4 linked regions of the Coturnix japonica genome follow. The protein of the gene in region 1 purifies or fractionates together with the protein of each later gene. This does not show direct contact. Links are inferred from orthologs where the notes say so. Each region holds a gene or a part of one and is shown in the gene's direction. Other genes may lie near its edges. The genes, in order: ARMC8, MAEA, ZMYND19 and HTRA2.

Region 1 (7,196 bases):
GTAAATGGTAAGTATAATGCAACCGCTGCTTGTTTGACACTTACTTTATTGACTGATTGAATTAGTATCACTTTGAGTTCTCTTCCATTACTTACAGTGTCGGTTGACGGAGAACTGTTACCACAAATCTTTGTGAAGATGTTACAAAGGGACAAGCCTATTGAAATGCAGCTCACATCAGCCAAATGGTAATTTTCATCGGGAATTGGAATGCAATAGTGTGCAATCTAGTACTTCTTAACTTTTGGTTTTATCCTCGCTGCATGCGAGGGAACTAAAACTTTAGGTAGGAATAATGAAAGATGTTATTTGTATTACCTAGATACTTGAAATATTGTTATCACCTAGTCATCTTATTTTTTCTTGAGCATAAACAAGAAAAAAACCACCTCTGTTTTCTTCAGTTGAACTGCAGTTTTCTCAAGTAGCTTGAATTTGATTATAAGTTTTATGTTAAATAGGTTATAGTCAGTAGTTTGTCCTTACAAAGTATAATACCGAAATGTAATTGTGTACTACCAGATAATGTGCTTGTTACACCACTGTCCTGAGAGTTTGCTTTGGAGACTGTGGCTGTGGTGTATTGAGAACAGTAAGCCCTCTCCTAAAATAAGAAGAGAGCAAGACACTCTCTCAAATGGTTTAATTAAGCATAGATTGTTTTTTAAACTTCATATGTTCATGCAACAGAATTAGTTACTAATTTATTTTAAAGTTCATCTCTCAACTTTCCCTTTTGATATGGGCAGATTCCTGTATGTTCATGTACCTAATGACTTTGTACCTTGTGACAAAATGTGACTGAATTCTGTAACATTAACACTAGGGTTTCACACTCGATAAGCTGGGAGCTAACTCTGCTTAAGACCCTTTTTCTTCTCTTATATTGATGAGATGGAGTAAATAAATGACTTCAGGTGTTTGAAGAGATATGTCACTATGAACTACTAAAATCTAACATGATTTGAGTGTTTGGTCATTGATTATTTGATTTGGTCTCCTTTAATTCTTTCCATTTACAGCTAGTCCAGATTTTAGTGGCTTATCTTTGGCTTACAGCAATGAGTTCTCTCATTCTATTCACCAAAATAATTTCACTGACACTTGTCAGAGCAAAGGCTTGAGTTTCTGGCTGAGGAATAAGGATGGGGGGAGTAGGAGGATGGTCTCTTTTGTCACGTTGCCAGGTTGTGGCAACTTAACCCATTCATGAAAGCAATTATAAATAAGTGTACGTTTGGGGAGGATTGTTTTAGGAAGGTAATCCCACTGTGTGGTGGGAGGCTGGACTGGGGGCCTCCTGCATTCCCCTCTAGCAAATCAGGTTTTCTTCAGGTACTGAAGGGGAGGCAAGGTAAATCAACTGTCTTGAAGAAGTCTGTTGTGATCGATTTGTGTTTCTTTGGCAGTTCAGAGAAAACAGAGAATTAGGGTTAAAAAACCGAGTTCATGAGAACAGGTTATTTTTTTTAACTTAAGATACAAGAGCATCGGTTAGTTATGAAGGCAAATTGCAGTTAGAAATCTATTCTGGCTTTGGTTTCTTCTTGTTCTAGGATAAACGCTCTCAGATATGTTGGTATTCTTTACTAATCTGCTTTGATTTGGAGGGATTTGGCTGGAGATTCTCTCATTTTTGGCTCAAATGGACTTTTGAAAGCACAGAAGAAAAAATGTGCAATGAAAAGCAAAAAAAACCCTACAAGAATGAGGGGAACAAACCAGTGTCTTGTGCTTCAAGAGTGGGCTCCTAATTAGCCTGTGGGCAGCCCTCTTTCCTAGGGCACTGAAGGTATCAGTTTCATGACAGTGTAAGGACTTCAAAAATCTACTGGCTTTTCTTCTCTAAATCTGTTCCCTGCTTGTATCCCTTAAAGTAAGTCTGTATCTCTCTTCACTCCTACTCCTTCTAGGCTGGAGTAGTAGGTGAAATTGTAACTGCTTTTCTGATAAAAAATTAAGACTTCACTTTTGATGTGCCAGCTTTTGTTGATTAACGTGGGATTCCTCTCTGGTTTATTGGTAGAGTCCTTAGAATACAGAAGTAGAGTTATTTTGGTGAATTTCTGAAGCCTTCTGCTAAGCTGGTTTTAATCTACATACTGGTATACAGGGATATCTGAGGAAGCTTCCTTTGCTTTTCAACTGTTCAAGTAGACCTGGAAGATCTGACTTAATACCTCTTGATTGAAATGGAATAAGGATCCTTCATTTGAACGGTGATTTTGGCAAAGAGGGAGCAATAAGTCGGCCTCTTGGGGGAGTGATTTGCACCTATAAGCAGAACAGTTTAGAGAAGAGCACCTTTTCTACTGAAATTAGTGTAATTGCTGCCATCTAAGCCAAGCCTATTTATCTGAAGTACTTTAACTTACTTTGTGTTCGAAGTTGAGTCAGTTTGTCCTGCAAACAGTATCGTAACAGGAATTAATGGCAGCTGCAAGACTGGTGTTCTCCTCCTGATTGTTCAGACGTGGAAATCAGTATTTCCAGCTGTAAGATACAAAGTTTGAACAGAAAAGTTTAGAAAATAATCTCTGTGCTGCCGAGTTGTATCTGTTTAACTTCTGAGTCATAATAGCTAAAATCTCATAATCAGTGCATTTTTATTCACGTCTTTCATTGGTAGACACTTGGAACAGGTTAAATGATGTTATTAAAGATGTGGGAACTCTGGGTTCTTTTAAAAATCATAGGAATGCAGTGAAACATGGTGCTATTAAGGTTGGCATATTATTATGGGCAATTGTGATTGGCCTTATATATGGTTTCAACCAGTCCAACCAAGAATTGAAATGGTAGTTTTAAGTCACCTTCTTTAAATGGCAGTTGGTGGTTGGTTTTTTTAACCTCCCACTTGCGACACAATAAAAGCTAGTTACAATGGCTTAGTTTGAAAGCTAAAACAAGGTACTTGACTACTCCTGTACTGAGTCTCCTAAATTAATGCCAAGCTCAAATATTTCTGCAGATGACACCAAGCTGGCAGGAAGTGTTGATCTGCTTAGGAAGGCCCTACAGAGCCATCTGGTCATTAGGTACATGAACATACAGGAATCTGCCCATATCAAAAGGGAAAGTTGAGATCTAATGGAACTAGTGATAGGACTAGAGGGAATGACCTCAAGTTGCACCAGGGAGATTCAGGTGGTTGGACATTAGGAAATACTGCTTCTATGAGAGAGTGATAAGGCACTGGAATGGGCTGCCAGGGTGGAGAAATGTTTGAATGTCGTGCTGAGGGACGTGGTTTAGTGGGAAGTATTGGTGATAGGTGGATGGTTGGACTTGATCTTGGAGGTCTTTCCCAACCTTGGTGATTCTATGACTTAAACTGTCAGCCCTCCGTTGACCCTCTCCTTATTAGTCCTTTCCTGTGCTGTGGGCAGTATAGGACAGATCTGTGCGTATTGCTGTTTTATCCTAGTGAACATAGTTAACTTTGTTTTGTTATTGTAAGAGATTTGTACATCAGTCGAGCTTCTTGGTTAGTCCTTTTTTTGACCTGTGTGGTGTCCGTGTTGGTCAGTGCTCCAGCAAGATGTTCTGTGCTATAAATCTCCTTGCAAGTGTGTGTGTTGTAATTTGGTCATGTGCCTACAGTTAGCTCAAATGTATGAAAATCAATCAAAAGGGGAGCACATTTCATTAGTACAGCGGGTTGTTCTGCAGTGTTTTAAGTGCTAAAAACCAAGGATAAGTGAATTTATGTTTTATTGTGTTGTCACAGCCTTACTTCCATGTGCAGAGCTGGAGCAATACGGACAGATGACTCTTGCATCGTTCTTAAGGTGAGCTAGTTAGACAATTCTGTTTAAAACAGCATTTCTATAAGGATCTACTCCTGTTTTTATTTGTCTAGTATAAAAAGTAGTGCAAAGCCTGTTAAATAGGTGATCTCAAAGCACCAAGTTCTAATGATAGTAATTAAACAAACAGTTGTTCCCTAATTGCCTTAAAACACTTATAGCAGTGTAGCTCTTGTAAGAACTTTTAGATACCAAAATGTTGATATCCAGCAATAAATATTCCAAAGTTTGACACACAGCAGTTTAAGGTTTGTAATGATGTAAGTAACTGTTTGTAAGTAACATGGAAACCACATCCCTACCTTGATCTCTGCATGCGAACAAGGCGCTGTTATCTGTTTCAGAAGCAAGTTTCAGAAGACTGTAGTCAAGACAGAAGACAATAGTCAAAATGCTTGCACAGTGTATAAAAGGAGCCTGTCAAAATCAGGCTGTTCCTCAAATTTCACAGTAGTTTTGTAAGTTTGTCTGAACATCAGTGCTTCATAACTTGGTTAGGGTTGGGAGAGTTGTCTGCAGCGCGTCAGGAACTGTCCCTATGTCCAGTGTTCTGGTAATGCAGGGGAAAGGGCAGTTTCTTTATAAGATGCTGCACTAAGAAAACACGTTTCAGTGTTAATCGCAGTTGAGTATGGTACATTTACACTGTTTGCTAGGGGGAATTTCGTATCTGCCATTCAAGGTAATTACAGGTGAAAGTCCTCATGTTGGCAGAGTCAAATTTCTATCTCTCCCATCTTTTTAAGCGGATATCCAAAATGCAGTTCATTCCAGTATCATCAGTGTCAGTAGTGACATCTGATCTAAACTCTTTTTCACTGCATGAGAACTTGGTTGAAAGTAGCCTAATGTATACTCAGTATTGCCTGAACAATTTCTCTGTAGTCTTTAAAATACTTTTTGTCTGAAGGTACCTGTTCAAATAACATTACTGAGAATTGCTTTAAAATAGCTGTTCGAGTTTCTTTATGAACCTAGCTGTTCCAAACAGTATTTTGTTTTTATTCTTTTTAAACTCATCAGACTCTGCCATGTTTGGTTCGAATGTGTAGCAAGGAGAGACTGCTGGAGGAACGAGTAGAAGGAGCAGAAACTCTGGCCTATTTGATTGAAACAGACGTGGAACTTCAGAGAATTGCCAGCATTACTGACCACCTCATTGTCATGCTTGCCGATTACTTCAAGTATCCCAGCTCAGTGAGTGCAATCACTGATATCAAAAGGGTAGGTTCTTCTGCTGAATCTTTGAAAAACAGTAAGAAATGGGCTCAAGGTGTTTCTTTATTCTGTTTAGCTCAGCCTTATATCCAAGTTCTTCAATGGAAAGGTTGCCAGACCTAGGCTAGGCCATGACCCTAATGCAACTAGGCCTCAAGTCTTTGTTCATTCTGGAGCCTGTAATATCCAAACAAAGAACTTTGTGTATATTTGGGCTCTACATCTTGTAAGAAGGATTTTGCTGTTCTTTGTGGAACACAGGAAGATGGTTTCTGGATAGTTTAATGCAGCTTCTTCATAGGATTTTCATGACATTTCCCAATGTAGTAGTGAAATACTGGACAAGGGCATCTGTCATGTTGCTCATGTGCTGAGTTTACAAGTTTACAGCTTCAGGAGCCGCTGCATTTCGTCTTCATAAGAGATAATAGTCCATGTGATGTGGATGGTGTGAATTCATAGGTGAAGTTGTGGAAAATGTTAAGTTCAGAGATGGTTCTTTTCTGTTACGCAGAAAAACCTGGATGCCCTGTATATCATTTCACGTTATCTCCCAGATGTTATCTGCACTTGCAAGAGGTTGGATAAACAATGATCCAGTATACCTTGGAGGCTTATTATCATAGGTGTTTTAGGAGCTGTTCTATTCCCAGCTGTATATACACTTACCAAAGCACTAGTAGATCAGTCAGTCTTGGAAACAGGATTGTTCTTGATATTCCTTGTAGGGAAGTATCGTTTGTCAATTCCCTTTTTCTCTCATTCAGTTTAAAGAAAGTACCCCAAAGAAGTGGATTACAGAGCCTTTGTTTTTCTTTGAGACTGTCCCCAGGGGTGGACACACCTCTCAGGCTTTCAAGGGATTGAATTGATTCTGCACGTACAGTTGCTTTTAAGTAGATGTAAAAATGCAAATTAAATATTAAAAAAACTGTTGGTTGCACTTTAGATAATAAGCAGAAGGAAAATGAGCATTTGACTGGGAAGCAGTGAGTGTTGGTGGTAGCATCAAAAACATGGCAAAGGTTCTGAACAGGAGTGATTATAGGTATTATGACATGGCTTTAAGTGTTCAGAAAGTCTCTAAAAATAGTCACCTGGAATGGCAGGGTGCTTGTTTGGAGGAGAAGGAAAAAAACTCTTTGAATTACTCCCTAGAAGGTAAAAACAGGATGAGTGTGGACTTTACTGAACAGATTACTTATTGTTGTTAAAATATTAAAAATAGACATAATACATTCTGCTCTAATGGTGTATCTGTACCAGGGGAAATTGTTCGTACAGCTTAATTTTGGACAGTTCTTTCATACCAATAACTTGTCGCTTAATACTGGCATTTTTCTGGCATTTTGAGTAGGCTTAAAATGTTGCTCTGTTATGTGGAACCCTTTGGGTTGGAGTTTGCAAGGGTGTCAATCATAGAGCAACTCTGCTTGGTAAGGACATGAAGGGATTGTCTAGTTGGCTATTGAGAACTGCTAACAATGGTGATTAAACAGCTTCTCAGTGCATTCAGTTCCAGTGTTCCCCAGGTGAATATGAGTTAGAACCTCACCTGTTCCAATCTGATTATTGTCTCCTCTTTCTTTGCACCTCCATAGAGAGTCCACCTTCATGTTCTTTGTAGTCTTCTTGAGGTGAAGGCTGCTCTTATGTCTCTGCTCAGCCTTCTCTTCTCCTCGCTGACAACCAGGGTGTTCTCTTTCAGCTAATGCAGGTCTACTATCCCAAAGTCAAGGCTTTGTATGTATTCTGCTTCTTGCCTTGCTCACACCTTGCAGGAGCTGGGATGCCACTATTATCCCTACAGCCAAGTGTTCCCACTTGATTATCATACCCAGTACAGTTGTTCCTGATTTGTGAGTCATGTGTCCCGTGATGCATCACCCTAATTCACTTGCCTAGAACCTGTGTTGTTACCTTCCCCAAACATCTAGGCAGTTAGCACTTTGATGTGTTGCCCTTATGACAGGAACTGGAAGTTAACAATCGCCTTAAGCTCTAAGTCCTGTGGTTGAGGGATGGGCTTCGGTTCTGTTGATAAAACTTTTGATTCTGTACTAATTTTTTCCACTTCTTCTGGCTTGTTCCTATAAGTTTCTGTTGGGTAAATAAGACTGCTTTTCACCTTAATATAGTCTGAATGGAGCAGTAACATCTGAGAAGTGT
Region 2 (7,196 bases), on another chromosome or scaffold:
TATGTAAATCATGCTGAGCACAGGGTGATGGATAGATGTATAAAGAAGTGTCAGGTTCCACATAAGTGTCTTCAGTCTTAGGGTGTGATATTTTTGTAATAGGTTATTTTTTTTTCTGTGAAGTTTAAACTATCATAATGGAATTGAATAGTTGCTTTGTGATAATGCTTATCCAGTGCTTAGATGTTACCCTTCTGGTACCTGGTGGGTAGATGGGAAGTGAGGTTGCCTTGGGTCCAATAGTTATAAGCAGAAACAATAAAATATAGCTGATAATTCCTTGCTTTGTGTAGAAGGAAGAGGAAGGTTCTACTGCTTTCATTGTGTAATTGTTGTTAATATTTATGGCCAGAGGGCTTTTTGTCCTACTTAGATGTAGGTTTGCCATTACTTAGTCCTCCTATCAAAAGTTAAGTGTTCTGCTTTTGTGAGTTAATTTAGGCAGTGCTATCAAGGAGATACATGGGAGGCTGGAGTTGTGCTTGTATGTTGTGGTTTGATAACGCTGTGCAGCATAGGCCTTGTTTGTAACTTTGCAGTCTGGGAATAAAATACTGTGATCTTTTGGTTTTTAGTGTGGAAACTGAAGCTGTGAAATGAGGAAACACTTTGCAGTGTTGTAGAAGATGATAATTAGAGTACTTAAAATTGCTTTATAGCTTATATGCAGGCTGTGAGATAGGAGTAGTTCTCTACAAAACATAGTGTTGACCTGCACAGAAGACCTGTGCCATTTTAAAGCCACATGGTCCTTCCATGCTCCATACTTTTATTTCATTAACAACAGCTAAAGAAATACACTGTGGAGGCACAACCAAAATAGGGAAGTGTGATCAGATATAAGTCACTGTAGCATATGTAGGTTTTTTCAAGTATATTGCCTGATTGAATTTTAGTATTCTTATTCTGCTAGTGTGCTTAATTAAGACTTAGAACTGTTGGTTATCAAATCCATAAGCCATTTCTTTCTCCACAAATGGATTTCTTATATTGTTCTGTTACTTCCTACCTACTCAACAGAGAACAAAAACATTTATTGGAACAATTTAAATGTGGTGGTAGTTCCAAAAGAAAACCTTTCAATTAAAAATATTCTGTTTTCTGGATACATACTGTCTATTTAATGGAGGCAGCTGCCAAGCTTTGACACCTTTTTGGCAGACACAAGTCCAATTGATGTGTCTGTACCAAATAGCATCTTTTTTATTTTAAGTCTGCAAAAGGATTGTAGGAGTTATTTTCACTTTGAAGTTCTTCTTGTTCTCAGCAGCTGCTACAACCTCTTTTCCCTCAAGGAATAGCTGAAGATTGCTATACTATCACCTCACTGATAAATGCTTTTGGTTGGGTTTCTCACCAGTTCATTGACCTATAATGCCTATGTGAATCTTCAAAAACACACCATACTTTTGATGGAGTCAGAAAAGGCCAACAAATGTGAACAAAAACAACAAAACCAGTGATTTCTTGGTATACCTTGCATATCTAGACCATTATGAAAGTAGAAGTAAATGATTTTGTTGTAATTTGATGTGAAAATAAATGCTGCTTACTAAAGGGGGGTGCATGTAACTTGGTGTGGGGAATGCTGTTCTTAACTCTAGTCATTTTTAACAGTTGTATGGAGAAATAGGCAAACAAGATAATGGATATGGTGGCATTGAATGTCAGATTGCTCATACAGTTGATTTACATGGGCAAGATTCATTTCCTTCTATAAACTGCTACTACTTTACTACTTTAGCTCTGATCTCAATCTTATCTGGATTTGGTAACTTGAGAGTTATATGTCAGTTTAATTTTTTTGATAGCATAATGCTGTTGTTAGAGTCGTAACACATAAACTTTGCCTATGACTTCAAAAACGAATTCTTAAGTCATGGAGAGAACTTTAGGAGAAGTTTTTGTGCTTAACCACTTACACTCTAATTTAGAAGTACATGAAACATGTCTGCATCTCTGTAAATAACCATTCTGACAAAACTAGTCCAATCTGGCCTGCTTTTCCAGTAAGAGGCTTCCTGTATCTATAAGGAAAAATTGGCTGATGAAATGCAAGCTGTGAATGTGATATGCCTGGCACCATTTCTCTGCTTTTTAAGTTTGCCTCGGGGAAGTCTAAGACTGAATATATTCAGCTGTTCTAACAGCTGAAAATGCCACCTATTCCAGAGAGTGGTTTGGTTCACTGCAGCTACTCTAACATTTGTCATACTTAGCATTTCAGTTGTATGATTTTCTGCATTTTGCTGTGAAGTCTCCATAAAAGTGAACTTGTTCCAAACTGGTGTGTTAATCAAATATTTGATAGCGGCTTGTTGCTTGTGTATTGAGTTATGGTATCTCACAGAGTATCTTCTTTAACAAAGTGTGAACTGTAACAGCATGATATGTTTATGCAGCTCAGAAATAACTTCTGGTAGTGCCAGTTCAGAGTGAATCTTATTCATATAATTTGGAAACAAACTAAATGCTTTTTGAGATATATATGGGAAAAAATAACTTGCTAGCCTAGAAGATCTTAAATCTTCCTGGGTTGTGTTATCCTTGGTTGGTACAGATGTGTAAAGCAGCTTGCAGTGAAGTAGCAGAGGTACAAGGCTTGCTCCAGACAAACTTGATACCAGATGCTCCTCTTTAAACATATCTACTTCCATTAAGCAATGGAGGAACTATATACTATAGACATTGGCATAGTCCACTGATGTAAGACAAGCATTGTGGATACCAAGTATTCTTGGAAATGTGGATTTACACCCAGCTGGTGAGATCTTGTCCATTTCCTCGCAAAGCTCCAAGATGTCATCTTTATTTCTTTTTCCTAGTTCTGGTGCATAAATGGGTTTAGAAGAGTCTGTCTTGGCACATGGAGATGCGGTGTTCACAAAATTGTTACAGCAAATTTTAAGTAAAGTCCTTTAAAGATGTCTCTGAAACAGTCTTTTATATCTCCGTGCTCCAGTTGGTTAAATGGATTGCTGTGTAAAATATCAGTATGATTTAACAAGCTGTGCTTTCCTTTTTCTTTTCTATTAAAGGACTTAGTAAATATTGAGATGTTTTTGACTGCTAAAGAAGTGGAAGAGTCATTGGAAAGACAAGAGACTATGACTTGCTTGGCTTGGTGTCATGATAACAAATCCAGGCTCAGAAAAATGAAGGTATGAAAACAATGTCAATGTTTTGCCTAAGCAGCGGTTCTCTAAAGTATTTGGTTATTTGATATGGTCAATTTGGTTTAAATTATAGGTTGTGAATAAAGCCATATGTAAAAGTAAGGGAAGTAAGTACAAAATGTATTTGTTAAGGTTACTGGTGCTGAGCTAGCCCAAATGAATGCCAAACTTTAATGCGATGTGTGTAGTAGTGTCTCAGAGCATGTGAATCTGTGTGTATAGCACTCAGTATCCAGCTGAGAATGTAGCTCATAGTTCATATATGAACAGTGAGACTAATTTGTAAGCCTGTGTCTGAGAGGAATATCATATGGATTTGTCTTAATATTTTTGAAGTGCAATATATGTAAATATAAAACTAAGCAGACTTGAGTGAAGAAGTAGCTTTTTATGAGGGAAGTACTGAGGACCTTCTTGCAAAAATAAAAGCAAGTCTTATCGAGTAACAAACACGGTAAGTTGACTTCTAGCTATTGAGTACTGAGTGTGACCTGAACATGCTATTTCACTGTGTTCCTGTGCAGTTGGTTTAAATTTCCTTGACTCTTAAATTCTACATTTAAAAACAACGTTATAGTCTCTTTCAGGGCTTGCAGAAATCTGTTTGACTGTATTAATCAGAATCTCTACTTCCTTCAGTGGTTTTGGTGTTTTCAAACTAAGCTTTCTTTAAGGAAAAGATATTTAAGTATCCTTAAAGATAAGCAATGAGTGACATTCTCTGTCAATCGGGCACCAAAATGAGAATGAACCAAAGATGGGACACAAGAGTAAAATGACCAGTGATTACCCTAAAGAAAATGATCTTTTAATGGAAAAACCATTAAAGGAAAACCAGAATTGGCATGTAAACAGCATTGCATAGCTATACCACTGGGAAAACATATGTATCTATATAATTTTAATACAGCAAGTTATGGAAGAAATTAACAGCCGAATATCTTTTTTCATCCCTGATCTTTGCCAAACAAGTAAGGATAAAAATTTTCCCTGTCATCCTTTGAGAATGGAAGAAAAATACTGCAAGCCCTACTCAGACAGTCTCTGCAGATTGGGTTTTCTTGGGGGATGGTAGGGGAGAGCTGTGAGACTTTTCTTTACTGCTGAAACATGTTAATGAAATAACTGAGCCATTGGGATTGGTATCATTAACAATTTGGAAAGTTTTATTAATTTTCTTTAATAGAAACCAACATAACCAATATTCTAAATAAGGCTTTTGTGTAGATCTGAACAAAAGATCTTGAGTTCTATTTGAAAATTGCAAATAAAAAGAAATCTTAGTTCTTTGCAAACCATGGACTTGAGCACAGAGAAAGGTGTACTTGGAAAGTAACGTACTTCCCACTCCTTAAACAAATGTACCTTAACAGGACAGAACGTATCACTTTAAGCAGCTGACATTTCTAATCTCAAGACAAGAAATTGCTGTAATGTGCACATCAGAGACCCCATGCAGTTAATTAACTGAAATTTGGAGTTGCTCAAATTCCTCCTGAAGTCACTGAGGGGTTTTGGATGGTATTGTACTGATGGATGATAAACAAAAGGCAACTGTTCATCAGAAGCTTTGGGGAACAGAAAATAGATTTGCCTAACAGAGCAACTCAGTGTAATTCAAAAACACAGTTATTTTTTGGGATTCAGAAAGGGTTCTAGTTTTTGGTTGTTAGGGTAATAAAATAGTTGACTGTGTCCTTATATAGAGGCATAATGGCTTGTTCTTTTAGGAGGGAGAACCTTTTTAATTCTATATATATATAAAATTTTTAATACAGAATTTTTTGTGAACTGATGATGAAATTTGATTTAAAGAGACACTGTCAATTTCATTAAGCTTCAAATTATATTTTCCCCAAGCAGGTAAATGTCACTTGGTTTCCTTGTTTGAGATTTGTTTTCAGCATGGCTTTTAGATGTTTTGACAACAGCAGTGGGTTAGAAGCTTGGAAAAAAGGGAGCTGGGGAGAGAAGGACCACAGCAGTCTAGACTCAGTGCTGCTTTTCATAAGAGGAGGGTGCTTTCAGAATGAGTTTAAAGACTTATTTCTTCCTTGCAGTCTTTTGGGTCAATCTCTCATGTCTTAAATCGGCCCCAACCTTCTACTGAGTTATTGCTTTTAACTTTAAGATAGTACTGAGAACTCACCTACTACTCTTACTTGCATCCCAAAAAATGATGATTTCAGTCATCAAGGAAATGTTCACTTTTTGTAAATACTGAAGTTTGGAAGGAGCTTTTTGTTTGCTTTTAGGGAATTGTGTTGCTGTCTTGTCTGTAGACAGCATTTCTACTTTCTCTGCATGAATACCTAAAAGCAAGCAAACAAGGTTGCATGTAGTTAACACTTCTTTGTTGTGCACACATAGTATTTAACATCTGGAGAAAAGCATGGTTTTGACACCATCTGAGACCCTGTCTTGTCTTTGATTTCAGAGCTGTCTGGAGTTCAGCCTAAGGATTCAGGAGTTCATTGAACTCATTCGACAGAACAAGAGACTGGATGCTGTGAGGTATGAAAACAGGATGTTTTACAAATGTTTCTTACAGCAATAGAATGCTTCATCAGTAATGTGACTGTTATTGCAATACCTGAAAGCCCCATAGCTGCCACTAGTCTTGATAGTGTTATTGTGATCAGGTTTTGGATTTTAGTTGAGGTTATGGTGTTTTTTTGTGTTTTCCAAAGGTAAGGTGTCAGTCCAGGTGCAACTTTGAAAATCTGTTGTTATTTAAACTCCACATCTCCACAGACTCCACAGTTAAGGATTACAAAGCTGGTTTTAAAACTAAGTATTCTGGTGGTGTGTAATGAACGTACTTATCTTTCAAGATGTACAGGTAGTTTCTGGTAGGAACTCATTGCAGTTTTGTTACAGGAAGTACTAAAAGGTGAAAGAAACACATCTGAAGCTTAACACTTCATTTGACTGAATTGTCTCCTGTTTTGTTCTCACTAATCTTGTTTGTTATAGTTGGGCATTAGGCTAAGTTTGCTTTTTGTACTTCTTGTATTGAATGGATAACTTGGTAATTCCTTGTTATGTGATAACAAGTCATGTCTCATTCCATTTCCCTAGCCCCAGATAAACTCAGTATCCATTTTATCGCTTGAACTAGTTTAACATTAGAACTTTGAGAAGAAAATAACACTGCCCAAGGTGATGTGAATGAGTGAGAGTCAAATTAGGTCTGACCATGGCCTGGCTTCAACCACAAGATGGTCTTTCTGGCACTTACAGTCTATGAGTCAATTTATGCTTTTCAGTTTGCAGTTTTGATGTAAAGTCTTGAAATAATATTCCAGGATAATACAGGAACCAGTTCTGCTGAAAGAAGTGGAAATTTGATAGTGTGACTATAAAATGTGTTGATAATTCTTATAAGGAGTACTTTTTCCAGCACCGTAACTTTTGATGCAGGGGCAGAGCTGCTGGATCTTAGACATGGAGAAGGTTCTGGTTCTTTTTATCTTTAAGGATATTTAAACCTAGGGTGAGATGACAAGCTTTATGGACAGATTTCATGCTTCTTTAATACAGTGCAGTGATATCTGTTACACCTTAAGATTTCTGACAAGTTTTATATTGAGGAAGTGGTAAGTATTACTGCCTTTGAAGTTGTACTAGAAATTGAAACCAGCAGGAGGTTTGTATTTTGTGGAAAAGCTGCTTTTCGCTCTGAGGAGTGCGGAGCTGTAGCAAACATCAAGTATCATAAGCATAGACTGAAAGCATTCTTAGCTCTGTCATCTGCTTTAGGTGTAGCAATTCCTCTGCAGGGTGAACCAGGTGATTTCTCTTTGAATAAATGGATGAGAAACTTGGACCTTCTTGAATTTTGGAAGGAAAAAGTAGCTCAGCAGTGTTGGGAGGCCTGATGTTAACACCTACACCAAAATGACTCACCTTTTAGTTTTAGGGGTTATTTCAGATGTTATTTCTGATTTTGTTCAAGTCTCTTTGTTGGCTTTGAGACACCTCATATCATTCCTGCTTTGCCCTACTTGCACCTAAATG
Region 3 (7,971 bases), on another chromosome or scaffold:
CATTGTATGGGGCTGAGTAGTAGGTAGCACCTTAGGCACTCGGTTTGCTTGTAGCATATAGTGCTTTCTGGAGCTTTCTATCAACAGTGCCCTCTAGCTGGCGTAGGCTGTGTGCTGTCACCTTCTGAACTGGGTGATGGTAGATGGCATGGGAGTGCTGAGGCAGTTAGGAACTGAGCTATCTAATGGTTCTTCAGGGTTTTCCCTGTGCTAAAGCTGTGTTTTCCAACTGCAGGGACAATTAAGGAGATCCTTGGAACTGCTCAGTCTGTGGGATGCAGCATTGATGGCAGACACCCACACGATATCATTGATGACATCAATAGTGGTGCAATTGAGTGCCCAGCTGTAAGTATCAACCTCTAGCTGAAACTGCTGTAATTAAGCTATTTACTAAAAGGGATCTCTACTAATGAGCTGTATTTTCTTCTCTCCACAGAGCTAAATGGAAAAGTTGCCATATGAAGGTTCTTACATCTTCTGTAGCACCTTAAATACTTAATAAAACACCAGGCTGTTAACAGTACCACTGCTTTTGTCCTTGTCCAGTTCTGTGTATGTGGGATTTTGCTAGTGGACTTGGTTCAAGCAAGCATTCCCATGTGCAAATGGCGAACACCTCTGACTGGAGAGCTTTGTGAGCTGCTTTTTAGTGCCAAGTGTAGCTGGCAGCTACAGCATTTGTGCCTGATGGGATGGAGCTTGGCCTCGTTCAGCCAGCAGGGGGAACATCTGGCTTAGGTGGCAGTGTGGGCATCCCTGGTGCAGGTTCTTTGCTCAGACTTCTCGTGTCTTTTATCAGGAAATTTATACCAGGGTTTTCTGATGACCAGAAAAAAATACAGACCATTCAGACTGAGGTTGAGCTCCTGTGTATTTTTAACTACTGAAGAGGTTGTGGCTGGGGTGGAATTCTGCAGTTTATTTCAGAATGTTGTAAAGGGGCCGATGTCGTGTCTCTTGGGTCTCCTGACTCCTTGGATGGTGATGCTGCGGGAGCTGGGTAAGCAAGCTCGATAGCCTGGGTCTACATCATATGCTCCAGGTCCTGGCGTCTCTGAAATTAAAAAGAGGCAATTTGTGTTGGTATTTCCCTTTGGGAGTTGTGAAAAACAAGTGCCACCTGGCCAGGCTGCTCCAAACCATCTGATGGAGTGTAAAGAAACTTCCAAGCTCTGCTATAACAACATAACCAACCTGTGATGGAGAGGTGCTTTGGGCTTGATGTGCATTGTATGTGACAGGGTTTGATGCTTGGTGCTCACACCTGAGTGATGTGGAGCTGTTAGTGAGGTACTGCTGCAGCGTGCAGGTGAAACCAATGTTCTCTGAAGTTCCTGGGTTAGAACTAGCATTGCTCTATTTCCATGTGCTCTCCTTTGGGGTGGCACAGCACCAGGGATGGTGTGTGATGTCAGGCTGTACAAAGCTGAAGTGGAATAATCCTGGTGATCTGAATGCTTTAACTGACTTGGGTGCTGCTGAGCCCTGCTAACAGTGGTGTTATGAGCACAGTTCACTTCGGCCCCACCAGCATCCTGGGGTGGGGAGGAGCCTTCTCAGTGCACAGCTATTTTTCTGAAGGGAGTGGGAATGAAATTCCTCCCAAGATTCTGCTTAAGCCTGAAGTGTGGCTTTGGGCTACGCTGCCTGAGTGCACAGCAGTCATGCACTAGGAATGCATCTCGTACAGCTTGTGAAGCATAAAATGTACATAATGTTAGCATGGAGATCAGGAGAAATCACCTGTTTGCACATGACTGGACAACAGGCTGCTGAGATAAGGCCTTGTGCCTGCTCTGCTCTGTGCTGCTCTGCCCAGTGGGGAGAAGGACAGAGCTTCCCAAAGGTGGACATCTTCCACCTGAGATGCTCATTGAGCAGCAGTGCGATAACTTCACATTGGGCTCATGGGCAGGAGTGGGATGTGCAGCTGCAACAAGGGGTTGCCAGGGTCCCTGGATGAAGGCTGGGCTGGGTGGGGGGGGTTGTGCTGACCGATAGGTTTACGGTTCCTGAGAACATCCAGGTTTGTCCGCTGCTCTCTGATGTAGGGTGGGTACATGGCTCCGTCAGGCTGAGGGCAGCACAGGCTGCACAAGGGCTGCAGTGAAATGGAGAAAGGCATAACACAAAATTACCTTCTATTCCTTCAAACAGCCTATACATCAGCCTATAGCTGTACCACACATCCCAGCCCCGACTATCAGTCTGTAAGATCTCATGCAGCCTCATCAGCAGCTGCAGGAGCTCTCCTGCTTTCTGCTGCCCTTTGTTCCTCCAGCTGTTTGTAGGGCCTTTCTCTGGGGGGGACCAGGGAATAAAGCAAAAGAGCAACATCCCAGACACTTATTTTTAACTCTTTGACTTGGAGGCTCCAAGCAAGGAGGCTTTGGTGCTCTCCAAGTGAGCTCTGCTTTGGATTCAGCACATTCCTCACCTCTCCAAGAACACAACTTGCAACAGATTCTGGCTTTGTGTAAGAAAGAACATCTCCAAGTGGCCCCAGGCTGCGATGGGGACACTGCTGTGTTGGGGGGACCTGGGGAAACACCATTGTCCAGGCTGGCTCCATTCCAGCTGAGGTTTGCAATGATCATCACTGATGGGGAGGGCAGTTCGGCAGAGCGGTGCCTCTTTCAGAAGCACCTTTAGTTTAAAGAGCTTTAAGGTGCTCGCTAACCTCAGCCTTAGCAGAGCCCCTGCTCTGCCAATGGTTCATTTCATCCCACCCAAACTCCCGAGGCAGGAGGCGCAGGGACGGACACAGTAAGAACCTACATTAAATCCATGTTCCACCTTCACTCTCCTGCTGGCCGGCCCCGAGCTCGGACAGTTCTTCCCACTGCGGCGCGATGCATCTGTACGAGGACAGACGGGAGGAGCCGTATTGAGCCCTGTGAGCGCTGCCCACGGCCCCATTTATTTCCCCACATCCCCCATATTTTACCCATGTTTCCTCTTCTGCCCGGATCCGGTCACTAGTTTGGATGCAGCAGCCCCGGCCTTTCGGTGCTGCCCGTTCGCTCCGGTTCCCGCGCACAGCCCCCGCTTTGTGTCCAGGCCGCTGTCAGGCCTTCGGGGCTTCGCTGTGCCCCCCAGCCTCCAAGTTTCGCTCTATTTATCGCTATACCCATAACGCATCGCCCCGCTCCCGGCCCATTTACCCCCGTTACCCCCCCGGCCCCGCCCCTCCCTCCGTTCAGGCGGCACAAAGCTTCCCGCGAAAGTGACGTCACCGCGCGCGCCGCCTCCTCCCGCTCCCGAACCCGCGCCCGCGCGCGCCCCCATCCAGCTCCTCCCGCCCTCCTTTCCCACGTGACCCCGCTTCGCGCCGCTCTCCCATTGGCCGCTCCGGCGTCGTCGTGAGATCGACGCGCGCATTTCCCGCCCCGCCATTGGTCGCTGTGTGTGTGTGGCGCTGGGAGGTGGCGCGCCGCCCCGCCCCCCCCCGGTGTGCGCCTGGCGGCGGCGCGTGGCAGCGGCTCCCGCGCGCGGCTCCGAGTTGGCGCGGCCCGGCCATGACGGACTTCAAGCTGGGCATCGTGCGGCTCGGCCGCGTGGCCGGGAAGGTGCGGGGGGATGGGATGGGGATGGGAGACGGGGGGACGCGGCGGGAGGACGGACGGACCGAGGGGGGGGCGCGGCCGGGAGCGTCGGGCCGGGCTCGGCCGCACGGAGCTGGGCCGGGCGGAGCGCGGGGCGGCGGCTGAGCGCGGTGCTGTGTTACAGACCAAGTACACGCTGATCGACGAGCAGGACATCCCGCTGGTGGAGAGCTTCTCCTTCGAGGTGAGCCCCGCGCCGCCCCGGGAACCGACCCCGAGGGATCCGCTCCCCGCCCCAGCATCCGCCCCGGCCCCGCAGCCCCCGACCCGCCGGGCAGCCCCGCAGCCCCGACCCGCCGCTCCGTCCCCGCCGCCCGTTCCCGTCCCAGCGCTGCCGGCCCGTTTCCCGGCGCTCCCCCTGTCGGAGTGGGAAAGTTGCGAGGTTCCCTCCGCACGTGGGAGCGGATCCGTCCCGCCCCGAGCTCTGCTGGTGCCGCCCGCGCCCCCGGGGCTGGGAAGGCCGAGCGCTGCCGGGCTGTGCTGAGCGCTGTGCTGAGCGCTGTGCTGAGCGCTGTGCTGAGCGCTGTGCTGAGCGCTGTGCTGAGCTCCGAGCTGTGCTGAGCGCCGCCGCGTTTCCTCCGCGCGGCCATAGTGACAATAGTGAGGCCCCACGTGCGGCGCTGCGTCCGGCCAGGAGAGGGGGGGAGCTGTGGGGGGGTCCAGCACCTCCATCGTGGGGCGGGGGGAGAGGAGATCCGGGTCTGATCTGGGGGGAAATCCTTTCCTCAGAGGGCGGTGAGGCCCCGCAGCGCTGCCCAGAGCGGTGGGTGCCCGTCCTGAGGTGCTCAAAGCTGTGGATGGGCCCTGGGCAGCCTGAGCTGGGGGGGTTTGGGGTCCATGTCAGCACAACCATCCCATGGAGCCGTAGCAGTAGAGGTTCGTTCTTGCTGGAGATCTGAAACAAGCACAATTCCACGGCAATTCAGTGTCCTGTGGACACGTGGGAGGTGCTGCCTGTCCCTACCGCTGTCCCACTGCAGCTCACTCTCTGCTGCTCAGCACCAGTTGATCTCACGCTCTTCCCCTTCTCTCCAGGCTCGCATGGAGGTGGATGCTGATGGAAATGGTGCTAAAATATTTGCTTACGCTTTTGACAAAAACCGTGGAAGGGGATCCGGCCGCCTGCTGCACGAGCTGCTCTGGTGGGTATCACAATAGGGCCCGGGGCTGTTACTGCACACAGCATTTGGGGCCTCATTCAGAGCCCAGAGCAGTGCTGCAATGCCCTGGCCTGGCTCTGTTTTGCACCGTGCCCTGAGATAGCTGATGCTCCAATAATGTTATTTCTAGGGAGGGTGGTTACAGGTGAGTATTGTGTTGCTTCAATCTGGGAAATGCGACTGAATCTTCACTTGGGGCTTCTTCTGTCCTGAGATGAGCAGGTAGGTGAGAAGTGACAGACTGTGGATAGAGCAGCTGATAGCCCACAACTTAGGGGACTTTGCTCGTCTTTCTGGATCCTGAAGGGTGCTGCTGCTTCCTACACTGCTGTGTCTGCTCCCCTTGTGGCAGGGAGCTTTGCCTGAAGTTCTTTGTAGCTGCCATTAGGACTCAGAGCCCAGCAACTGGTTGTCAGAGGCACTTTGTAAATGTGTTCTTCATGGGTTTATAGGAAAGCTGGGCTATGTTGAAGAGAACCATTATTTATTTTTAAAAGCCTTTTCTGAAGAATTAAACATGCTTTCTGTTCAGTCCCATAAACTGTAATGAAAGAGCACCCAAGATCTCCCTGTACTTTCTTCATTGCTTGAGGTTACTTGTTCTCCCCCAGCTCAGTCCCTGGATGAGAGAGGCAGGAAAAACGCCAGGCACAATTACTCTTATTTTAAATCTGCTCATTAAATATGGATTTTAACCTGCTCTGTTATTGTTTAATCTGACAGTACACAACTTTGGAAATGAGTCAGAATTTGGCTGCACTGTGTGGTGTGAGTGGGGCTGTCAGCCCCTGCTCACTGTGCAGCTCACAGCAGAGCCTGCAGTGCTTGCCTTGCTCCAGCGTGTGCAGGGCTTTGCGTACAGCTCAGTCATTGCCTCTCTCATTAGCTGGACTTCTGTTAGGAAACAGCTGTAACATGCTCAGTTGGGTAACTCAAATCGTGTGACTTCACCATAGTGAAGCTGGTGTCAAACCCCCGAGGTTCTGAGTGATGGGGATTTTTGGAGGCGAGCTGTGAGCTGCCCTGCAAGCCAACCTGCAGGTCTGGAGATACAGTCAGGTTCTTTGGGAAGCACTGAGCATTTCAGCTGTTCTCTAAAGTTGGTTTGGTCCCTCTGAAGGCGTCTGTTTTGCTGTGGTCTTTAATTACACGCTACCACGAGGCAGCTCGGTGCGCTTTGCTGCCTGAGCCTCCTTGTATCTCTGAGAAGCCTCTTGGCTGCAGGTGCTGCGTAGTGCTGACCCTCCTATCAGCACGCTGTGCTGCTCTCCTTGTGCTGCAGCTGTTCTGAAAACAAACCTGCAGTGTGTTGAGCTGAAGGACCATCCCCCGCATGAGCTCTGGGACAGCAGACAGGGCTGCAGGGGCCCCGTGAGGGAGATGGGTGGCAGCACCCATCACAGCTGCATTTCCTGCATGAAGGAGAAGCAGAGAGCTTGAGTTACTGCATGTAGCGGAGTGCAGGTGTTCCACCTGTCCTGTGCATCCCCTTCCTCAGAATCTCACTCTAAAGGGACAAACCTGATGCTCCATCAGCCCCTTTCAGCAGACTCTTTTCCATGCTTCTTCTTGGTTTCTTCCCTAAATCCAGGCTGGCGTGAGTTAATATGCAGCTGTTCCTACTTTGGGTTCAAGCAAGTTGCAGTAGTTTCTCTTAGTCAATATGCAGGCATTGCAGGCTGTCTGTTATTCACAATTAGTCAAAAATATTCGCCTGTTTGGTGGTGAAAGCCCTGTCCTGTTGCTTAAGAGACGTACTCAGTAAATGAAAAACTGACTCACGCCAGTGCCAAACTTGAACATATAATAGAAACTATTAATATTAAAACAGTAAAACAATATTAGCTCCATTCAAGCTGTAACATTAATAATTACATGGGTGCTGGTGCTGAAACTGGAATGATGGTTTCTGGAGGTTTCTGTGCAATATTCTTAGAATTCAAATGTACCAGGATTGTCTTCTGAGTCAACTAATTTATAATGGAAATGAGCTCCTGAAACAGATCTCTGTCTTCTGGGAGCTGATACAGCTGAAATACCCACTGCAGCCCGAGCTGTATCGTCACCGTTTCAATGGCAGCAGACTAGGAGGCCTCCTGGAATCAGGGCAGTGCTTGGGGCTGCGGAGCATCGCTCGTTGCTGAGCTTCAGGATGGTTTTGTTTCCTGCAGGGAGAGGCACCGCGGGGGGATCGCTCCGGGATTTCAGGTGGTGCATCTGAATTCAGTCACTGTGGACAACCGGCTCGACAATCTGCGCCTCGTCCCGTGGGGGTGGAAACCCAAAGCTGAGGATCTCTCCAGTAAACAAAGGTGTGTTGATGTTTGGTGGGGAGATGCCATCAAATGATGCTTGCCAACATCTTCAGTTGTTTCACCTCTTCTGTTTAGTGCTGTCCATCTTGGCTGAGCCCGTTTATTTGACCTCGGGCTGCTTATAGCATCGCAGTTTCACATTGCTCATCTGAGAAAGACCAGAGTTAGTGCTGACCATGCTACGAAGGGTCGATCTCACCCCATGGCAGTATGTAGAGGTTCTGCTCTGCCAGATGTCACCACAGTCAAGCAGGAAACCTGCATTCCCTTCTGCTTGGATGGTGGCATTTGGGGACAGTTCAGCCTGCGGTTCATGCAGGCTCATGGCTCATTCTCAGGCACTGAAGCTCAATCACAGCCTGCAAAAGTCAGTGTCTGCAAAATGCTTCTGTCTGAAATAGTGTAATTAGGTTAAAAATAAGTTCCTGGGAACAGCTTCTGTTGGTGTTCACTGCAGGTTCCTACACACCATGTTGTGCTGATGTTACTCCAAGTGCATCAGATCCTTATATTGGGTTGGACTTGTTTCACCTGTGATGGGGAGGCCCAGGAATGTTCATTTTTGGTGAGGGACCCATAGGCTGAATTCTTTGGCATTTACACCAGTGTAAGGCTGAAAGGATGCTGTGTATGTGAGAAAACTGTATAGTCTGAGCTGTAGCAGATTCAGTGTGATGGTAACCTTACCTTATTCTTTAACAAATGTGTACTTGCTTTTTTTAAAGGGAACAAAGTCTGTATTGGCTGGCAATCCAACAGCTCCCTACAGACCCTATAGAAGAGCAGTTTCCTGTCCTGAATGTAACACGATACTACAACGCTAACGGGGATGTTGTGGAGGAGGAGGAGAACTCATGCACATACTATGAATGTCACTACCCCCCATGC
Region 4 (7,899 bases), on another chromosome or scaffold:
TTTTCATCAATTTAGAGCCCCCCTGAGCCACTCTGACTGTTTGAAGGTCACAAATAGACTCACAGGGACACCAGCTCACCCCGTGTGGCCCTCACAGCAAAGCTCTGTGTTCAGGTTGTGTCTTTCCATAACCTGAACTGCTTATCTGTCCCAAAGACACCAATGTCCACCGCAGCTCTTTGTTAGTGTGTGCTTCCCACTGCACCTCTGTGGTCCTCATGGGGAGACGCTTTTGCCATTCCCATGGATTTCTGGTTCCTGCTGCTTGCTGCCCCATAGCGCACACAGTTGTGCAGACTCTTGGGATGGACACCCAGCGCGGGGCTGTGAAGGAGCTCCCATGTCCTGCTGTCATCCGGGCATCTCCTCACAGTCTCCCGCTGCCGTCCAGCCCACCATGCTGAGCCATGCAGCTGCCCGCTGGCCTGGCCTCACACATACCCACTGGTCCCCTCTGGGCCCCCATGTCCTCCCATGACCTTTGCCCACCTTGCAGGCACCCATTCTCAGGCCGTGAGGTGCCCATCTCGAACGGTTCGGGGTTCGTGGTGTCTCCTGATGGGCTCATTGTGACCAACGCTCACGTGGTGGCCAACCGGCGCCGTGTGCGGGTGAAGCTGGCCAGCGGGGAGCAGTACGACGCTGTGGTGCAGGACGTGGACCAGGTCGCAGACATTGCCACCATCCGGATCAAGCCTAAGGTGCGGGGCACTTTGCCCAGGGGCTCCCTTCCTCTCCCGCCTTCTGCTTACCCGGTTCCTCTCTTCCAGCACCCGCTGCCCACGTTGCCCCTCGGCCGCTCCTCTGAGGTGCGGCAGGGAGAGTTCGTGGTGGCCATGGGCAGCCCCTTCGCCTTGCAGAACACCATCACGTCCGGCATTGTCAGCTCCGCGCAGCGCGGCAGCCGGGAGCTGGGCCTGACCGCCTCCGACATGGAGTACATCCAGACGGACGCCGCTATCGACGTAAGGGCGCAGGCTGGGCTGGAGCTTCGTCCCGCTGCCTGCTCTGGGGAAGGGCTCTGTGTGCTGTGAGGTCTGGGCACAGCAGGCTGGGAGGAGGGTGCTCCTGGTTGGTGATCTGGCTGTTTCTCAGCCTGAGCCCTGTTCCCTGGGCTCTGCCTGCTCACTGTGGGGTAGTGTTTGAGGTTTGCTTTTGTGGCCTCATTGCTGCTCTCTCTGTTGTTCCAGTTTGGGAACTCTGGTGGTCCCCTCGTCAACTTGGTAAGTTCTCCTGCATGTATCCCAGTGGGCCTTTTCTCCTGGGGCTGTGTGCCCTCAGTGGGAGCACTGTGCAAGTATCCTCAGCTGTCAGGAGGGAAGGAGGAACTGTGTGCTCTCGGCATCTTAAAGGGTGGGATCAAGGAATTAGCGTGGGGTGAGAGCTCTGCTTGGTGGGACTCATCCCTGCCCGGCCTCAGCAGGGTCAGACTGCCCAGGGGGGGACGGTGCGCAGGCTTTAAGTTTTGCACAGCTCCATAAAGGTGCAGGTTGGAGAACACGTTGCCCTTTTCCATGCAGGATGGCGAAGTGATTGGGGTGAACACTATGAAGGTGACATCAGGCATCTCCTTTGCCATCCCCTCAGACCGGCTGCGGAAGTTCCTGCAGAAGGAGGAGCAGCGCAAAAGTGAGTTGGATGCCTCTCTGCTCGGGTGGGAAGGAGGCCAGAAGGAGGGTGATGACAGAGGGAAGAAGCTGTGGCATAGCTGACATAACAAGACATGGGCATGTGGGCAGACATAACAAGAGGAAGAACCTTTGGAGAATAGGAAGATTCTCCCATTGGGCATGAGGCAGTGAACCCCTCTGCCATGGCAGATCCATTTGCTCATCTGCCACAGATAAAGACTTCCAGAGTTTCCAAGAACTCTGCCTTGTTTTTGTTCCTTGGGGTTTGTGATAATTTGTTTAGTGCAGATTCTTGCTGTCTGGTTCTCACATTGACATCATGATATTTGCTTGGTATTCTCAAGCAAAACAGTGATGTTTTAAACCAAGAAAAGAAAGCATGCAATGCACTGAAATTTTCTGTTGGTAGGGACTCGGAATCACTCGGAATCACTGCCTTGAGGCGTGTTGGCTTTGTGATGTGCTGGCTCAGCCCCGTGCTTTTTTGAGCACATGTCTGTGTTCAGTGTTGTTGTCAGAGATCCTTTCTGCCCACAGGCTCCTGGTTTGGCAACGCGGAGACGAAGCGCCGTTACATCGGGGTGATGATGCTGACTCTCACACCCAGGTACGTGCTCTGAGGTCAGGGGGCCCTGATCTTGCTGGGAGTTTTTGAGAGGATCGTCTTCACAAGGTTAAGTGTTCACCTTCAAAAATCTCTTTGCTGCTCTTGTGTTCAGACTCGTAAGTTGTGTGTCTGGGGTTAGTTAGAAGCTTGCGAATGTCTGTGTTTGTGGCAGAACCTGCAAGCAGATAAAAAGTCTCTAAATCTGCCGCATTAGTAGCTAATTTCATTAGGAGTTCCATAAAGAGGCTTTGCAACACAGCTACCAGAAATGTTGTGTAATTAACAGACGTGTGTTGTACCAACTGAAAGTTCTGGTGTAAAATTTGTGCAAACTGTGCTCCCTGGGGGATGGGTCTGGCAGGTGAACTGCTGTGCTGCTGAAATCAGGGCAAAATAAGGGACCTTCAGAATGAGAATGTGCACGTTTGCCTGCAAGAGATTTGGCTGCTGGGGAAGGAGGTAGGCACGTTACAGAGTGGGCTGTGTGGGTACCCAGCGCTGCTGCCTCTCAGTGCTGGCAGGAGGAAGCTTGGGGGCTGCCTATGGAAAGAAATGGTCGTGCTGAGCAGGACAGCACTGGAAAATGGAAGGGGGTGACTTGCAGGCCTGAGACTTCACCATCCTGTCTGTAGCCTGGGAGGAGCACTTTGTTTCCTCTGCATCTGAAGAAATGCTCTGGTTAACAAAGGATTGCAGCCAGACTGCAGCCAGACTGCTTGCTTCAGTTCTGCTGGCCTCCAAGACACACGAGCCAAACACAGCACCCCGGGGCAGATGCCCTGTGTGCTGTGTTAGATGTGCCTTGCTGAGTGCTGGGCAGCCCTGGTCAGGCCTATGAAGGGCTGAGCAAGCCCTGAGATAGAATTGCCACTGCTTCACACGGTCAGCTGCTCACAGCCTCCTAGGTGGAGCGGTTGGCTTGCAGTCTCACCTCTGAGCAGCTTTCCTGTTCAAAGGTATTGTGTGTGCCTGAGCAGCTCTCAAGAGATTCCTGGGGCTCAGTATGTTGCTGGGGTTGGTGGCTGCATGTGCCTGGCAGAAACATATTTCAGGGCTGTGCTGTGCCCCTGCCAAAGTTCCGGTGGCTCCTGTATGGTTGGTTGAGTTTGTGGGCTGGATGCCACGAGCTGCCCGGGCTTGTTATTGGTACACAGGCATGAGGCGCTGCGCTGCCCCTTGGATTTCAGGGCAGCAGTATGAGCGGGGAGCACTGCCAGCAGTGCAGTCATGCCCAGCAGATGGTGCTCGTGCTCAACGTTGGAGCTGATGCCGGGGCCTAGGGAGCAGACAGGACAGTCTGCTGCATGGGGTGGTGGCGTGGAAATCAGGCTGTGGAGGAGGTTCAGATCCACCAGTATGAACAGAACTGAAGCCAGAGGCAGGTACTGTCATCTGAGAACAGAGCCCATATAGGTACCCCATTTTTGCCCATGAAAAGTTGTTGCTGAGATTCAGATGGTTCTTTAGGGAGGAGAGGAAACAGCTGGGGAAGTGTCTCCTCAAAGATTGATACAGGGTTGAGGAAGGCTTGAGCTCCCACTGCCCTGCATTACAGCATGCAGCAGGTGCAGACTGAGCAAAGGACTTTGAAAACAGAGATACTGGTTGCTGGAAATGAGTTCTACATTGAACAGATGCAGTGCTGGTGAGGGATGTTACCGTGGAGACATTAAAACATGTGGGTTGCTTCTTCATGCTGTGTGTGATAGGACTTGCTGATTTTGTAGGATTCAAAAGAGCAAGTGGCAAACGTCACAGAAACAAAATGTTGCTGGTTGTCACATGCTCAGGAGCAGCTGGAGGCACAGTGTCACCTGCACAATGTCTGTAGATGCGCCCTTGGTCTGAGTGACCTCTGTACGGGGGCTGGCTGGGATGGAGATCATTGCTGTTTTAGCATCTTGTATGGTACCATGGTTTGGATTTGTGTTGATAACAGAGTCACAGAATCACAGCACAGTTGGGTTGGAAGGGACCCCAAGGATCACGAAGCTCCAACCCCCCACCACAGGCAGGGCCACCAACCTCCCCATTTCATACCAGCCCAGGCTGCCCAGGGCCCCATCCAACCTGGCCTTCAACACCTCCAGGGATGGACGGGGCTGGTGTAGGACCAACTCCCTTCCAACCTTGTCTGTGCTGTAATGCTGTGACATCAAGAAGAGATGGCAGCTTGCAAAGCTCAGTGGGGGAAAAAGAAGGGCAGTGCAGTTCAGCAGGGACTGCTGCAAAGCAAGGAGGCATAACCAGTGGGGAGCAAGGAGCTGGGTGCTGTATTTCATGGGGTTCCAGTGGATCTGAGCTGGTGCAGAGGCTGTTTACTTAATGCACAGTTGTGAGATCCAGCTGGAGTGTTGTATCCAGTGCTGGAGAACCCAGAAAGGAGCAGAGAGAGGTGCAGAATTGAGAGCGAGGGCTGGAAAACCTGATCTGAGGGAATACTGCAGGGACGGGGGCTGCTTAGTCTAGACTCCAGCAGAGAGACAGAGGTCTACTTCTGCTTGACATTTCTAGCTAGAACAAAAGGACATAGCTTTCCTTCTGTGACCTGCCCACAGGACAGGGAAGTGAAACTTAAGGACAGGAGGTGCAAATCTGACACCAGGAAAGCTGTCTGATGTGGGGCTGCTCAGACACAGGACGTGCATCGCCAGCAGCTGGGATCCAGCTGGCAGCAGTGCAGCAGTTTCCAGTTCTCCCCAGCACAGTCAGGATTAGTTTTTGTCAGGAATCTGGTGGCATTGGAGTGACCTCAGGGTTGGCAGCCGGTCACTTGTGCAGGGGAGCAGGATGAGAGTTCTGCGGCATTATGAGCCCAGTGTGGTCCTGGCTGGGTGGGAGCCCTGCTCTGCTCCCAGGCTCAGTACCGTGACGCTCATTTTCACTCTGCAGCATCTTAGCTGAGCTGAAGCTGCGTGACCCCAGCTTCCCTGATGTCTCCTATGGAGTGCTAATCCACAAAGTGATCATCGGTTCTCCGGCCCATCAGTAAGTGCTGCCCTGTGCCTCGGGGTGGGATGGGTTTAGCTCTGAGGGTTTTGCTGTGGGGCCTGCAGAGCAGGCAGGCTGCAGCAGGAGCCGACTGGTGCAACATGCTTGGGCTGGGCTTGGCATCCCTTTGGCCAAACTACCTGTGGAGCTGAAGGAATGCCTGGCACAGCAGCCCCAGCTTCCTGAAGTGCCTGGCTCTCCTTCCTTCCTGGAGGACGAAGCCGCAGACAAGCGTCTGCTTCACTTGCCATGAATTTCGTTCCTTCTCCCCTCAGGGCAGGCCTGAAGGCTGGCGACGTGGTGCTGGAGATTAACGGCCAGGCGACGCGCCGTGCAGAGGATGTGTATGAGGCAGTGAGGACTCAGCAGAGCTTGGCCCTGTTGGTGCGGCGCAGCTACGACACTTTGCTGGTGAGCGTGGTGCCCGAGGTCACAGAGTAGTTGTGCTGCAGCGCAGGCCGCTCTGTCTGCTGGCTGATGGTGCTGGCCAGGAGCCGGGCACGCAGGACTGAGGCACAGCTGTGTGCCCATAGGGGAGAGACTGGGAGCTCGCAAGGGCCTGGAGGGGCCCGGCAGGGGGCCCGGCACTGGGACAGACCTGGTGTGAAAGCACTCCCCTCCTTACTCAAATAAAGCACTTTTCTAAGTGCAGCGTGGCCTCTTTTCCATGGCACACGATGTCCTGAGTGTGACCTGGGAGCAGCTGGGCTGTGTGAACCTGCTCCTCCTGCCATTCTGCAGCTGGGAGGAGCAGCGATCTCCTTCGTGCTCGGGGAGAGGTGTACTGTCAGATCCTTGGCACTTATATGTGGGCTGTGATCTGCTTCCTCTGCCCATAATGCCTCCTGGGGGCACCTTCTCTGCAGGTGAGAGCAGCCCTGGAGTTGCAGAGGGTCGGGGCTTCTTGGGCAGAGCCATCCCTGCCTCCTCGTGCAGGCTGAGCTGCTCCCAGCCAGAGTTCGCTGCTGTGGCCGCTCCCAGGAGGAGCTGGCTGTTGTCCTGTGGGTCAGATCACTTCCACGTGGACCAACCACTCCAGTGTCAGTGTCCGTCTGCACTGAACGCAGCCCCTGGGTCACAGGGGGAGGATGTTCAAGTGTCCCGGCTCATCCAGCCCAGGGCCCGGCAGGAGCAGCGTGCGGGCAGCCGGACGCGCAGGGGAACCTGTGCGAGCTGTGCACGCTGCGCTGGCGCCGTCCGTCTTTCCCTCCCCATCCCTCCCCCAGCTGGTCCGTCAGCCCGGAGCGCCGCGCTCCCACGCACAGCGCGTCCCTGGGGACCCGACAGGCCCTTCCCCGCTGCCCGGCTCCCTCCCCGTCCTCGGCAGCTGGCGGCCAAGAGCTGCGCTCAGAACGAGCCGGGGGAGCAGCTCGGGCTGTCCTCGCTTTCCTGGAAGAGCCGCGCTCCGCTCCAGCTCAGCGCGCTGCCAGCGGCCGCGGGAGGCGGGGAGCGGCGCTGTGCGGGGCTGTGCGGGGCTGTGCGGGGCTGTGCGGGGCTGTGCGCTGCTCGGAGCTGTGCGGGGCTGTGCGGGGCTGTGCGGAGCTGTACGGGGCTGTGCGGGGCTGTGCGGGGCTGTGCGGTGCCCTGGGGCTGTGCGGGGCTGTGCGGTGCCCGCTCCGGCGGCAGGAATGCGAGCAGCGGCCGCGCTGTGCCCTGCCCTGGTGCTTTAGGAGATGAAAGGAGCACAGTTCCTGGGGGGGCTGTGGCGGAGGGCGGCTCTGAGCCCTGCGGCCCGAGACAGAACAGGGCTCCTTTCACGCTCCCTCTGGCCTCGCCGCTGGAATTTGTTCGCCGGCACAACCCGCCGCGGGAGGGGCTGCGGCGCAGGGGAAATAGCTGGGACGTTTCTCGCATAGCTGCTCCAGCAGCGCTGACCGCAGCGCTTTCCAGGGCCGCAGCCAGGACCTGCCCTGCTGCGCTCTGCAGACAGAGCTTCTGTCCGAGTGATGAGCGCTGCGGGATCTGAGGTGGCCCCACTCAGCTGAGTCCTGTACCCCACATCTGCCCAGTCTCAGTGGCTCAGTGGGGCTTCGTTCCCCCATCAGCCCCGTGGGGCCGCTCCCTGTGAAGGCAGCCCGGAGCTGCAGGCCCTGTGGCTCACACCCGGTGGGGCTGCCGGGAGGTCGCACTGCTCGGGATTCCTGCTGCATAACATCTGTGTTGCATCTGGCGTGGGGCGTCCTGTGCTGCCCCGTGTCACTACTGAGCCAGGGTGGCCCCATCTGCTCCCACTGCCGTGGACCTTCACAGCCCCGAGGGCTGCTCTGGAGCATCGCTGGGCCCCTGCAGCCCCTTCAGTGCCCTGCAGAGGGGCAGCTCCTCTACCCCATGCCAAGCAGCCCCGCTGGGCCGTGCCCCCTTCCCCCTATGAGTCAAGAAGTTCCCTCTGACATCCAACCTCAGTTGAGTCTCCCTCAAAACCATTTCCCCTTGTCCTGCTGTTATCTGCCCTTTCAAAGAGTTGACAGGGTTGCTCTTCCCTTGCTCTCCCTCCCCCCCCCTAGAGAGGAACCAGCAGGATATAGAACTGACATCTTTATAAAGAAAATAAAATTACAACTAAGACAGGTGTGGGAACTGCTCCTAGGCAGTCGATGGCAGCACTGCTGTGCAGGGCAGCCATGCTGTCTGGAGATGGGGCTGCTGGGGCACCAGGGTGGCTGGCCCTGA

What was found.
Region 2: the proteins of ARMC8 (region 1) and MAEA purify together in Homo sapiens (affinity purification with mass spectrometry; 5 studies listed by BioGRID and IntAct, with this or other methods). This does not show direct contact. The link is inferred for Coturnix japonica from reciprocal best matches to the Homo sapiens genes ARMC8 and MAEA.
Region 3: the proteins of ARMC8 (region 1) and ZMYND19 purify together in Homo sapiens (affinity purification with mass spectrometry; 4 studies listed by BioGRID and IntAct, with this or other methods). This does not show direct contact. The link is inferred for Coturnix japonica from reciprocal best matches to the Homo sapiens genes ARMC8 and ZMYND19.
Region 4: the proteins of ARMC8 (region 1) and HTRA2 purify together in Homo sapiens (affinity purification with mass spectrometry; 5 studies listed by BioGRID and IntAct, with this or other methods). This does not show direct contact. The link is inferred for Coturnix japonica from reciprocal best matches to the Homo sapiens genes ARMC8 and HTRA2.

Annotation. Positions count from the first base shown.
Region 1 is NC_029524.1:2,441,398-2,448,593, forward strand, and holds part of ARMC8 (armadillo repeat-containing protein 8), read left to right. Parts: coding exon 1-7; intron 8-97; coding exon 98-188; intron 189-3,730; coding exon 3,731-3,791; intron 3,792-4,832; coding exon 4,833-5,033; intron 5,034-7,196. UniProt on the Homo sapiens protein: Component of the CTLH E3 ubiquitin-protein ligase complex that selectively accepts ubiquitin from UBE2H and mediates ubiquitination and subsequent proteasomal degradation of the transcription factor HBP1.
Region 2 is NC_029519.1:76,605,384-76,612,579, reverse strand, and holds part of MAEA (E3 ubiquitin-protein transferase MAEA), read left to right. Parts: intron 1-3,038; coding exon 3,039-3,161; intron 3,162-5,613; coding exon 5,614-5,690; intron 5,691-7,196.
Region 3 is NC_029532.1:875,751-883,721, forward strand, and holds the start of ZMYND19 (zinc finger MYND domain-containing protein 19), read left to right. Parts: upstream 1-3,432; 5' UTR 3,433-3,521; coding exon 3,522-3,572; intron 3,573-3,732; coding exon 3,733-3,792; intron 3,793-4,643; coding exon 4,644-4,750; intron 4,751-6,939; coding exon 6,940-7,080; intron 7,081-7,808; coding exon 7,809-7,971. Other genes in the region: RPL12 (60S ribosomal protein L12), read left to right, coding at 236-348, 440-445; protein STPG3, read right to left, coding at 927-1,057, 1,999-2,104, 2,782-2,861, 2,951-2,954. UniProt on the Homo sapiens protein: May be involved as a regulatory molecule in GPR24/MCH-R1 signaling.
Region 4 is NW_015439533.1:473,514-481,412, forward strand, and holds the end of HTRA2 (serine protease HTRA2, mitochondrial), read left to right. Parts: intron 1-496; coding exon 497-965; intron 966-1,190; coding exon 1,191-1,223; intron 1,224-1,520; coding exon 1,521-1,629; intron 1,630-2,168; coding exon 2,169-2,238; intron 2,239-5,130; coding exon 5,131-5,226; intron 5,227-5,504; coding exon 5,505-5,670; 3' UTR 5,671-5,880; downstream 5,881-7,899.